Linked DNA regions of Kluyveromyces lactis. The protein of the gene in region 1 purifies or fractionates together with the protein of each later gene. This does not show direct contact. Links are inferred from orthologs where the notes say so. Each region holds a gene or a part of one and is shown on either strand. Other genes may lie near its edges.

Region 1 (4,266 bases):
ATCCTTTCGATGTTTGCTTTGAAATATGATCCTCGAATCTTAACTCTGTTAATGAGAGATCGAAATCCATTTTAACAAAGCTCTTTAGAAGTCTTAGTGAGAGATGTTCACCAACAAGTTTTACAAGTTTAGAAGAATTCATGGTTGGACCTTCTAAACATTTCAAAAGGGAAATTTCGATCTTAGAAACATCCAAGGAAAGTTGAAAAGATGTTTGATCGAGCTCTGCTTTACTTAATGTTTCCATCATTCTCTTTGTCTGTTTCAAGACAAGGGTCTCCTTATGTTTCAATAGAGCTTCATCAGATCCACCAATATTGTCTAGAGGAATTAATTGAGAGTAGCTCTGGCTTCCGCTCGAGGTACTGGCTTCTTCCTGATCGTCTTCAACATATGGTACGCAGCTCTCAACCAATTGCATTATGATTTTATATTGAAAGTCGTTCAAAAAGATGTTAAGGCTTGGAAGTGTCACTGAGGCTGCGACTCTGGGCAAGTTTAACGCTTTTGGGAAGATCAAAATATCTAGAATAAAATCTAATTCCATCTTCTCCAAAATTGTGAAATTGTTGTCTCTTTGTTTGACATTGATGCTAGTGATCGATGATTTCATGTCAGGCCCGATTAGCAATTGGGTGTCTGTGAGTTTTATCTTAAATCTATCAAACATTAATCTTTTGAGTTCATCAGAATCAATCTTAGCATATTCATCCACACTTAGCTCCTTTATTTTCTTGATTTCTTGTTTTGGCACAAGATCACTAGACATCTTGATCGAACCAGCATCGATTATTGCGCATGGAGATTCCCAAGAATGCGCGTCTAATGGAATTATGATGGTCGGAGAAGCTGCATTAAGTTTTAGATCGATAGTTTTATGTTCATTGAGTAGTGCTTCTAATCCCATTCTGGTTTGACTTGTCCATCCTTCAACAGTTGCCTCTGCAGCATTCATTAAGGCAGATACTGTTTCCCAGTGTTTAGTTGGAGGGTTGAAGAATCTTATCAATTCATTGATAAAATGAATGTGATAATACACAAACACAGACCCAAACTTAATATCTAAAAATGTGTCAGCTGACTCATCCATTGGACAACTATCAAAATAAAGATGTAAAAGAGGGTCGCCACCTTTTTCATGTTTAGTCCTAGGGCTGACAATGTGACGATATAAGGTGTGAGGAGAACCATCCTCCACGAGGAAACTGGAAAGCTCAAATTTGAAAAGAAAAGAGTCTGGTCGGTTCAGAAATTCTGTTGCAGATTCCTCAAATATGAAGTCACACATGCGATGGCCTTTTGTTCTATCCATCACTGTTAAAGATCCTTTCTGTAATAGATTGGTTACTCTAAGAGTTGTACGATCTTTAGGTATGTCTACTGATTTCAAAGGATCATTCGAGTCATCGTATTCAATAGCATCGTAAAGCTCTTTGCGCTGTTCGTCAGTCATTGTCAAGCTGTCATCGCTTTTTGCGTTAGATGGAGCCCACCAGCTTGAAAACCAACCTTGTGGATTTGCGTTGGTGCTAATCGTCTCTGAAAGCTGAGTAAATTTAGACTCCTGACAAAACTCTCTTCTGGTAAAGGCTCTGAAAAACTTGATATCATCAAAGCTTAACTCTACATCAAGCGCATGAAGCCTTTTTTCCTCTTCAACATTAGGCAATGGATCGTTAATATCAGGTAGAGTTAGCTTTTTCTTGAAAAGAGATACGTACTCATCTCTCTTGTTCCTTCTTTCTTTAATATATTCCCAACTAGACTTGTAGTTTTTCTCGTGTATTTCAGATAGAACACAGTTTGCAGCGTACTTGAACCATAAAGCAGGATCAGCTGCAGGTTTAACAGTCGGTCTATGTTGTCTGTACTTCAAAGTTTTATGGAACCAGTGGTACTTCGACAGATTGTGAAGGACTTCCTTATACTGACAATCATCTAACACAAGAGCAAATTCATCAAACATTAATTGCACATCGATATGAGGAGCATCTTCAGTGGCACCAGCTTTATTCATTTTGAGTCTAGCCGATCCTCTGACCGGTTTCAAGAGGTATTGATATTCTGGAGCGCCTCGGTTATCGGCAATTGATTCGCGTAATCTAATCAAAAGTTCCTCAGAGTCGTCCGTTTCTATCGATTCTGTGCCTGTGTTACAGTATATACTAATAGAATCTAGGGTAGCCAATTTATGAGTAATTTGTTGTTTAATGGAGATGAAACTGGGATTCCAGGATTCATCAGTGGATACTGCAGAGAGCTCACTTAATGAAATACCAAATGCGCATGGTCCTTCACTGAACACTGAATTCATATCTTCATACCTCATATGAATATTCTTCACCGTTACCTGAAGGTTATCGACAATTTTGGTCAACAAGGATTGTGTAAAAGATTCATTGCGATTAGAATCTAAATTGATATCTGGTTTGGAACTGTTGGCGAGTTCAAAATCTGCCAGACGCTGAAGTTTTACTTTGAGCTCGCGCTCAATTTGTTCCTCCACATTATATGACTCCGGTGTCCGTGGAGCGCATAACATATACACATCTTCAATTATGATCTTCACTGGTTTATTTTTTAAACTGGACCATGGGATTAACAAAGTCAATTCTCCCAAATATCCAAACTTTACATCGATAGGTAGATCCAATGCATCTAATGAATCCTTTCTTAAACGCAAGTTGCGTAATTTAACATCCCCGTTCCATATGCCAACGTTAAGTTGGGTTGGATCGAAATTCTCGACATAGGCACCCAAAAATCGGTTTAAAAGAGCAGAGACAAGAGATTCTAACATTTATTAGGCTCTCTATCGTTGATTTATTACTGTTGTGAGCTATTTAGATTCTCTATTGGTGCTTTAGGGTGGACTGATGCAAAGTTGGTGTTTTATTTTTTCTGGTTTCAATTGCTATCAGCTCCCCTTTGAATTTATGTAAATACAAAAATAGACAAACTGTCAATTGAAAAAAAAGGTTTCATAGCATGGATATGTGCGGGTAATCAGGTATTTAAATCAGGCAAAAGGAATTCTACTGCACTTTAAAGGTTTGAAAGTTTAAAGATGTGAATCTTATTAGCAGAAGATTGGAAATAATTTGAACATATTTGCCACTGTACGAAGAAAGACATCATAAAACCGTGTGTTAATGTTGTCCAATGAGCAAGTTCCAGCAATTGAGTGAGGGCCAAGAGAGATCACTTGTTGAGAAGGTTGACCTCAGACTAGTATTGGCAAAAGATGATGCTAAATTCGAGCAGACTTTGAACACTTTTTTGCCGCCTTTATTATTAAAGCTAGCCTCACCTTATTCATCCGTTAGGGAATTGGTTTATGAGTCCATAAAACATATCACGTCGAGAGTCAATTCTCATTTTCGCTGTAAGCTTCCGGTGAGGCAGCTATTGCAACAAGTTAAAAAGCCAAATCTGAATGAAGGTCAGGACGCTACCAATGTTATTGTTTATTCGTCGTTTTTCCTTTCCAAAGGGGTAGAAAGAATAAGTAGACAGGAATCAAGAGAGCTTTTGCCTGATATAATAGAAGATATTTCCAACTTATCATCACCAGCACAAACAAGAATATTTCACATTCTGTGTAAAGTATTGTTGACATGGAAAGCTCCTTTGCAAGGTTCCTCAGAGGAAAGAGAAACGATAGACTTTTTAAACGTAAATGATTCTGATTTAAGATTTTTGGTTGAAAAATTCTTGAAGTTTTTTCTATTGGTTCCCAAGAGAACAGAAGGTAGCTCAGTTTCCTACTTTTGTCCGGGTCTCTCTAGCACTGATGTGTCATTTTTCATTTATAGCCCTGCCATATACTTCACCAAAGACTTGTTAAACCAATACAGAAGGGCAATTTTTGATTTTACTGTCTCAGGTTTGACTAGTAATGACCAGATTTTGATACCATTCTTATTGGTGGTATCAGCACAACCAATCGATATATCAGATTCAGCGTCCACGCTTTTGAAGAGAATTAAGATACCATATGATGATGAAACTTTTGTTAAATATCTCTCAGATTTGTTTTGCGGCAATATTGCTGAGCATCTACCACCTGTGAATCCTCAAATCCAGGAAAAAATACTGGGACTTCTAACGCGAAGTATTCTGATAACGAGGTTACCCAATTTGCCTCTGAGGATATCAATGGACGGCATTGCTAGTCGCAATCTGAGAGTCAAATTAGCTGCCCTGGTTTTCATTCGTCATGTTGCCAAAAACAATCACCTAGCGTTACGAGAAACAACCGGAAAT
Region 2 (4,141 bases), on another chromosome or scaffold:
GTCCTTGGGCTCACCGCACCTTGATTACCAGGGTCTTGAAGGGATTAACGTCCGTTATTGGTATCAGTGTTGTGCATTGGCACATGGATGAGAAAGGATGGAGGTTTTTACCATATAATGAATCGAATAAAACCGATGGAAAGGAATCGTACAAACCATCCGCAGGTCTCAAATGTGAAAAGGATCTCTGTGTCAGCGCTGATGTAGATAATCACTCTATCAAATACGGCATTGACGGTACCATCGATCACAATTACCATTTCCAAAGAATTAGCGAATTGTACTTCAAGAGTGAACCGGAATATGCAGCCAGATTCACTGTGCCCGTTCTATGGGACTTGAAGACCCAAACCATAGTTAACAATGAAAGTTCTGAGATTATTAGAATTTTCAACAGTGGTGTTTTCAATGAAGTGGCAGATTCTCATCCAGACATCGATTTGGTTCCAAAAGAATTAGAATCTCAAATCGATGAGATCAACTCCTGGGTCTACGACTCCATCAATAATGGTGTTTACAAGACCGGGTTTGCTGAGAAACAGGACATCTACGAGAAGGAAGTATTGAATGTGTTCAAACATTTGGATAAGGTGGAAGGCATACTAAAGAAAAGGTACGAAACTTTGAAATCTACTCATTCTTCTGAGGAGGAAATTGTAAAGAAACTATACCTATTAGGAGATCAATTAACTGAGGCTGACTTGAGATTATATCCTACCATTGTAAGATTTGACCCTGTATACGTTCAGCATTTCAAAACCAATTTGAACACTATTCGCTCGGGGTACCCTTACATCCATTTGTGGCTCAGAAACTTATATTGGAACTACGAAGCTTTCCAAGAAACTACCAATTTCAACCACATCAAATGGCATTACACTAGATCCCATACTAAAATCAACCCATTATCAATTACCCCATTAGGTCCCTCTCCAAACATCTTGCCATTATAACTGATGACAAAATGGTTTCTTACCTTGATATTTTAAAATTAGTTCTGGTCTGCCTGAAGCGGCATATATGTGCCACTTCACATCACCTACATACTGTTAGTAAATACACATAATGAAATTCAACTCTTTATGACATGCAACCAAGATTATGTGGATAAATCTCAAATAGTTGTTGTATTTGTCGCTTTCATCTGACAGAGATAAATCCCAAGAAAACCTTTGCTTAAATCTTTGGAATAATTTCATTTCAAGGGTACACAAACACAACTTATAAAAACTTAAACAGAGAATTCTTCATTACGATACTTGATGGTTACTACTATTGAGCAGGGCATGAATTACTGAATATCTTGAGAAATATCACTAGAGAAGAGTGGTTTACATTCATATGGACGAAAGAATTAAGGTTCTAATAGATATTGTATTGGATGATGATAGATTCTTACAATACATCAGGGAAAATGCAGGTCTCGGGGAATCTGCGATGAAAAAGATCGAGATCCCCAAGCACTCATTCACCTCCCACCAGCTAACTTATTGCTCTGCTGTGGAGATTTCACAAAGTCATCGATCCGTCCTAATAGGTGGAATTCCACAAATATGGAATCTTCAGCATTCATATAACATCTTCACGATCTTTGAGAGGCTGACTGATGTACGATTGCGAAACAGAATAAAATACGTTTACGAGAAAGGTAGAGGTAAGGAGACAAGATTCATACATTGGAGGCAGTATCATTCCGCAGATAAGAACAAAGCTTTCGATGAAAACGTTAAACCCTCTAAACTTGTCACTGTTTATGATGATGATGATAATGACGAAGACGACGGCGAAGCGTCATTACAGAATGGAAGCTTGAATTCACCTAGTGTAGTGCAGCAAAGTCCATCAGGGCTAACCAGTGATGCGCATCGTGGAAATGATGCTGATGTAATGCATTTTGAGGATCCGTTAATTGGCCATGATGGAGAAAGCACAGTAAATTCGGATCTTGAAGAACAATCTCTCGAGTACAATGAAGCACCTACCGATTTTTCTGTACTAGACGACAATGAAACAAGATCTTTAGATGTAAGGACCTACACACTAAACAAAGAAAATGCTAACCAACGTCTTATTTTCAGACATCCAACGAGACAGACATTCCGATCTTTTACGTCGAGAAGAAGTTCACTCAACAGTAAAGATCCACTTAAAATACTAAAGCCGATTCCTCAACCGATTACTCGAGAGGAGCAGACAAGAATCAATAATTCGCATGCACATTATACCCCTTTCAAAGCTATTGGCAAAAAGATTAGTGCCGTGGTACCAGACGCTCATTTCGGGAGTTTTTGGGAAAAACCCTCCCCAGAACATAATAGAATCACTTTAGATAGTACTAAAATTGGGAAAATCATCAAGATGGAAAAGATGATTGTTATGGTTAAGCAAGCTTTAACTGCCAGAGTAATTCCCCCTCATTTCTCCGAAGATGAACCAGTAGATACTAGAATTTATGAACGATGGAAAGAGTATTTCGTTGTAGCTAGAGGGACGGGAAACCCGGATGCTCCAGTAAGGCTACAACTTTACACTTCAAGAAAAATTAAACCAATAGTAACAAAGGATAGAAAACCATGGCATTGCAAGATTCAGTTTGATTTAGATAAGAAATGCCTTGTTGAATTTTATAATTCTTTGGACAAAAGTATTTGCATTGTCAAACAAGATGACCTATTAACACAAGAAATGAGGTTTGCGGATAATGCAAAAACGAAAACAGCAACATCGAAGAAACAATTTTCCCCTTTGAAAATTTTCATATTCCGATGTGATAATCTATTATCATCTAGTAGGTGGTTGGTATTTTTGAGATCCAGCATTGGTCCTGCAGCACAACCTTGTGACATTGACATCCATATTCCAATAGTAAATTTATCACTAAATGTAGATCTCCCAGAAATAATAAGAAGGAAATTAGCAAAGAAGGCGGCAGAAGAGGAGGAAGTGATGAAAATATTCCAACTAGAAAATGGATACCGTGTAGCACAACTTCCAATATTAAGATATTTGAAGCTAGTTATACGTGAGACGCTTATACAACTTGGATATTTACATGAGGTTAAAAAATGGGATGCTTCCAATATACTAATGGGACTATGTTGGAAACATTACGATAGGATTGAATGGTCTTACGGCAATCAAACTGATTTGTTGTACGGAACATTTGTTTTGAGAAAATCTCACATATTTGAATATCGTAGGCTTAAAACTTACCCCAGATCCATACAGAAACCCATCGATAATCACACTGATACCGTTAAGGTCATTAATGAGCCCTCGCCAATTGAGGGTTTTTTATCTGAAAACAATATTGTTTTCAGCGATAAAAATGAATATAAACTCTCACATCCCTATTTTAAGCTTTCCTACTGGTTCACTTCAAACGGGCTCTTTTTTAGGACTAGATCCGTTAAGGCTACACCACCACTACCGGAAGATGACGTAATCGATCCATTCGGAGTAGTATTAGATAAAGCCAGGCTAGATGACTTAATTGAAACCATGCCTAGAGTGTACGAAGATAATCCATATCCATTAGATGAGAATGGTCATTTCGCTTGGTTAAACGAGAATATAACAACTGCGGAATTTGAAAGTCACGACGCAAGAGCTAGTAGATCATTCCTGAGAAAAATATCACTAATACTCAAAGCGGATAATTGCATTGACTTGACTCGTTGTACAGATATCAAGCTTTTAGATGCATCGGGCTTCAATATTAAGACCATGAAAATATGGAATGAAGCAAATAATATGGTATGGAAGAATAGTCAAACACTTGAAGCAACGAAGTCTTCTATTATAGAGTTAGTAATTGGTAAAAATGTCAGTAAACTACTCATGGCGCCTGATCCGGAGACATGTCAAGAGTGGTTATCACGACTACGTGAAATAGCCTTCTACTGGAAGCGAAGACTAGCTGCTGATCGACAGCTTCTCTGGGATTTGAAAATAAAGAATCTCAACACCTTCAATATAACTGAACTTCAGGAAAAGCACATATCTGCATTTGTTCCGAAATGGATGACAGAATTATCAACAACAAACGATCATATTTACAACGTCAGCGCTCATGCTTTGTCGCGTCCTATAATACACCAAGGATTAATTTATCATAAATCCAGAAAACATTCAGTATTCA
Region 3 (2,772 bases), on another chromosome or scaffold:
CGTTTCGCCTTCATTGTAATGACAGAAAAGTGACACATTAGATATGAGCTAGGTCTTAACACCGGGTAGGACGCGATTGGACATCTCTTGTTCGAAGAATGAGATTCTCAATTGGTTCGTTCTGACGCTAATTAGTAAATCGAGTCTTCTTTTGACGTTTTCTAGAGAGTCCTTCTGTTCCGAGAGATCGTTTTGGGACAATGTAATCCAATCCTGATGCTTAGCACATTTTGTCTTTACACAAACACCGTCAACTGATGTGATATTACTGTTTTCGTCTTCTTTCAACTGAAGTAGCTTATCTAAAAACTCCTCAACTGACCGAGGGATCGTGAACTCATTATGGTAGCCGCATATTGTAACTTTACTTGCACTTTTCGACTTCTTTCGACCTGTAGGCTGATTGAAATGTGGGGATAATCTCTCGTTAACTTCACCGATCCAGTTGACGTATTTCTCTATTACTGCATCTTCTTCATTTAGTTTTGAAAGCTTGACCGAAACCAACTCATCGTGTTCGTTAATTAATTTGTTTAAATGCTGATCATTTTCTAGCAACTTGGAATATTGATCTTTGGATAAAGGTGACGTGACTTCTGGAAGCTTGTCTCGTCCTAGCGTTTTAAATTCCTCCAATGATGTTGTCTCGTTTAGAAGCTGTCTCAACAATGCAATCTTATCTACGCCAGGTAGATTTAACTTATCAACAATGCTTTGAACGTATTGAACAGCATGTTTCTTTGAACAATATTTGCTTCTTGAATTGGCATCACACTCTGTATAGCATTCAGGGAGCCTGCATTTCCTCTTCCAAAGAGTTTTCGGTAGTTTGCCGCCATTTATCAATGCCGGTCCTGTAATTCCAGCACTACAATACGAACAGTAGAATGAAAAAACGAGATCTCTATATTTCTCGGGGATCTTTAAACAGGAAAAATGAAACCAATCATCACATCCATCACATCCTACCATCAACTCCCCAGTGTCTGGTTTCTTACATATACAATAAACTTCTTCCCCAGTTTTTGGGTCGTGTTTCCTGCTGTCATACCTGGGGCACCAACTAGGTAATGACATCGTGAATACTGTAAATTCAATCCTATACTGGAGTTATCTTATGATGATAAATATCTAGGCAGAAAAAATGAAGTATATTCTTTGTAATATTCAAATGCAACCATTCATGTACCCTTCACAGGCCATATTTGTGTTATTTCTCTGTTTATTTTACCTTCATCGATTCGTGTAATGGTTTTTACATTTTAATATTCCTTTTCTGATGCAATGTGTAAAGATGGAATGTAATGAATAAGCCAACATCAAATTAAGAAACAGATATACCAAGATTCTCAGAAATATCACTTGCCCTTTGAGTATATGAACAAGTGCGTGATTCGCTGACTTATAATTGATAAACTTCATGACTGCTGCGAAATTGACACCGTTGAAGCCCATTCCGACCAAACACATCGACCCCGATTTAGCAAAAACCCCCGAGGATGCCAGCGTCAATTTAGTGTTGAATATTAAGAAATGGCTAAGGTGGACGCAAAAATGGTCTTTATTCCCTCTAGTAACGTACTTTCCGTTACACGGTATCAATGCCCTAATAATTCCTGCTCTTGAGCCCTCCTCTTTTCCAAACGATGCTTTAATGATGGTTAGAGAACTCACATCTGGACTTGGATCTAAGTTGATTTGGACTGGGATATCAATACATATATTATCCGGATTTGCCTTGAGAATAATGAGGAAGCTGCCTACTTCTTCGAAAACACATAATGCCGAATCCTTGCTGGATACTCAGTCACTTGCACAATCTAGAATTGGTCTTGTAGGTGGTTTAAGTGGGTACTTTATTGGGATCAAGAGAAACCTTCAATATAATCCACAAGAGCTTACAGGATGGTTGTTAACTCCAGTATTATTCTTTCATGGTGCCCTCATGAAATGGCTGCCAAATACGGCGAAAGTTGATATAGACTTTGATTTTGTCAAATGGCTACTAGATAAAGACAGAGGTGCTTTGGTGAGGATAGGTCTCGGATATGGCCCCTTGGTTGCTCTTATTGGTTTAGGATCGTATCATATTATCGCTGGAACCGTTCAATATATGCATGTCCGTAGTCTAAAGACTCGTAAAAGAATAATGAACTTCATATTGCTGCTTATTTGTACCGGATATATTGGAATAAGCAGATTGGGATCAGAGATCGTATTCGGAATGGACAAATATTATAGACCAATCCTAAGAACATTGTCATTATCATGAAAATGTATGCTTTACTTCCTGCCAGTGATACACCGTTCATCGTTAATTTTATTCACCATGGCGCTTGTTTTGGTCTTCCTGTACCTAGTTTTATTTATTGTGTGTGTGGCACGTCCATATGTACTTTTGTTTATGCAAAAATATTTATTTATCCTCTGTTAGAACGAACACGACTCAAATTGTTCAACAACTTGTCATATGTCTCGTCAACGTTGAGTTGTTCGGTGGTGGTTTCATCTTCGACATAACTATCTTCACTTTCAGATGGGAATCCATTTTCCTGCGCGGAGTGTCTCTCATCATGACTCACGTTCCCGTCCGGTCTTCCTCCAGGTGATAAAACTAATGGCTTTGCATCAGCAGGTGGTTCAACTTGGATACCATAAATATTATCCAACTTGACTTGTTGACAATTAACATTATCAATCAAGTCTTCAATGGAATTGATACCTTTCGCTTTGATGATAGCCTCACGAAGTTCCGTACCAGATGGAATCTTC

What was found.
Region 2: the proteins of VPS13 (region 1) and SPO71 purify together in Saccharomyces cerevisiae (affinity purification with western blotting; 5 studies listed by BioGRID, with this or other methods). This does not show direct contact. The link is inferred for Kluyveromyces lactis from reciprocal best matches to the Saccharomyces cerevisiae genes VPS13 and SPO71.
Region 3: the proteins of VPS13 (region 1) and MCP1 purify together in Saccharomyces cerevisiae (affinity purification with western blotting, with the first as the bait; 3 studies listed by BioGRID). This does not show direct contact. The link is inferred for Kluyveromyces lactis from reciprocal best matches to the Saccharomyces cerevisiae genes VPS13 and MCP1.

Annotation. Positions count from the first base shown.
Region 1 is NC_006041.1:65,979-70,244, forward strand, and holds the start of VPS13 (membrane morphogenesis protein VPS13), read right to left. Parts: upstream 2,801-4,266; coding exon 1-2,800. Other genes in the region: ECM29 (Ecm29p), read left to right, coding at 3,163-4,266.
Region 2 is NC_006042.1:1,106,613-1,110,753, reverse strand, and holds the start of SPO71 (Spo71p), read left to right. Parts: upstream 1-1,341; coding exon 1,342-4,141. Other genes in the region: ECM4 (S-glutathionyl-(chloro)hydroquinone reductase), read left to right, coding at 1-953. UniProt on the Saccharomyces cerevisiae protein: Recruits the lipid transfer protein VPS13 to the prospore membrane during sporulation, thereby aiding prospore membrane formation.
Region 3 is NC_006040.1:617,935-620,706, reverse strand, and holds MCP1 (Mcp1p), read left to right. Parts: upstream 1-1,420; coding exon 1,421-2,272; downstream 2,273-2,772. Other genes in the region: SPP1 (Spp1p), read right to left, coding at 49-1,077; HER1 (Her1p), read right to left, coding at 2,421-2,772. UniProt on the Saccharomyces cerevisiae protein: Recruits the lipid transfer protein Vps13 to mitochondria thereby promoting vacuole-mitochondria contacts. Involved in mitochondrial lipid homeostasis.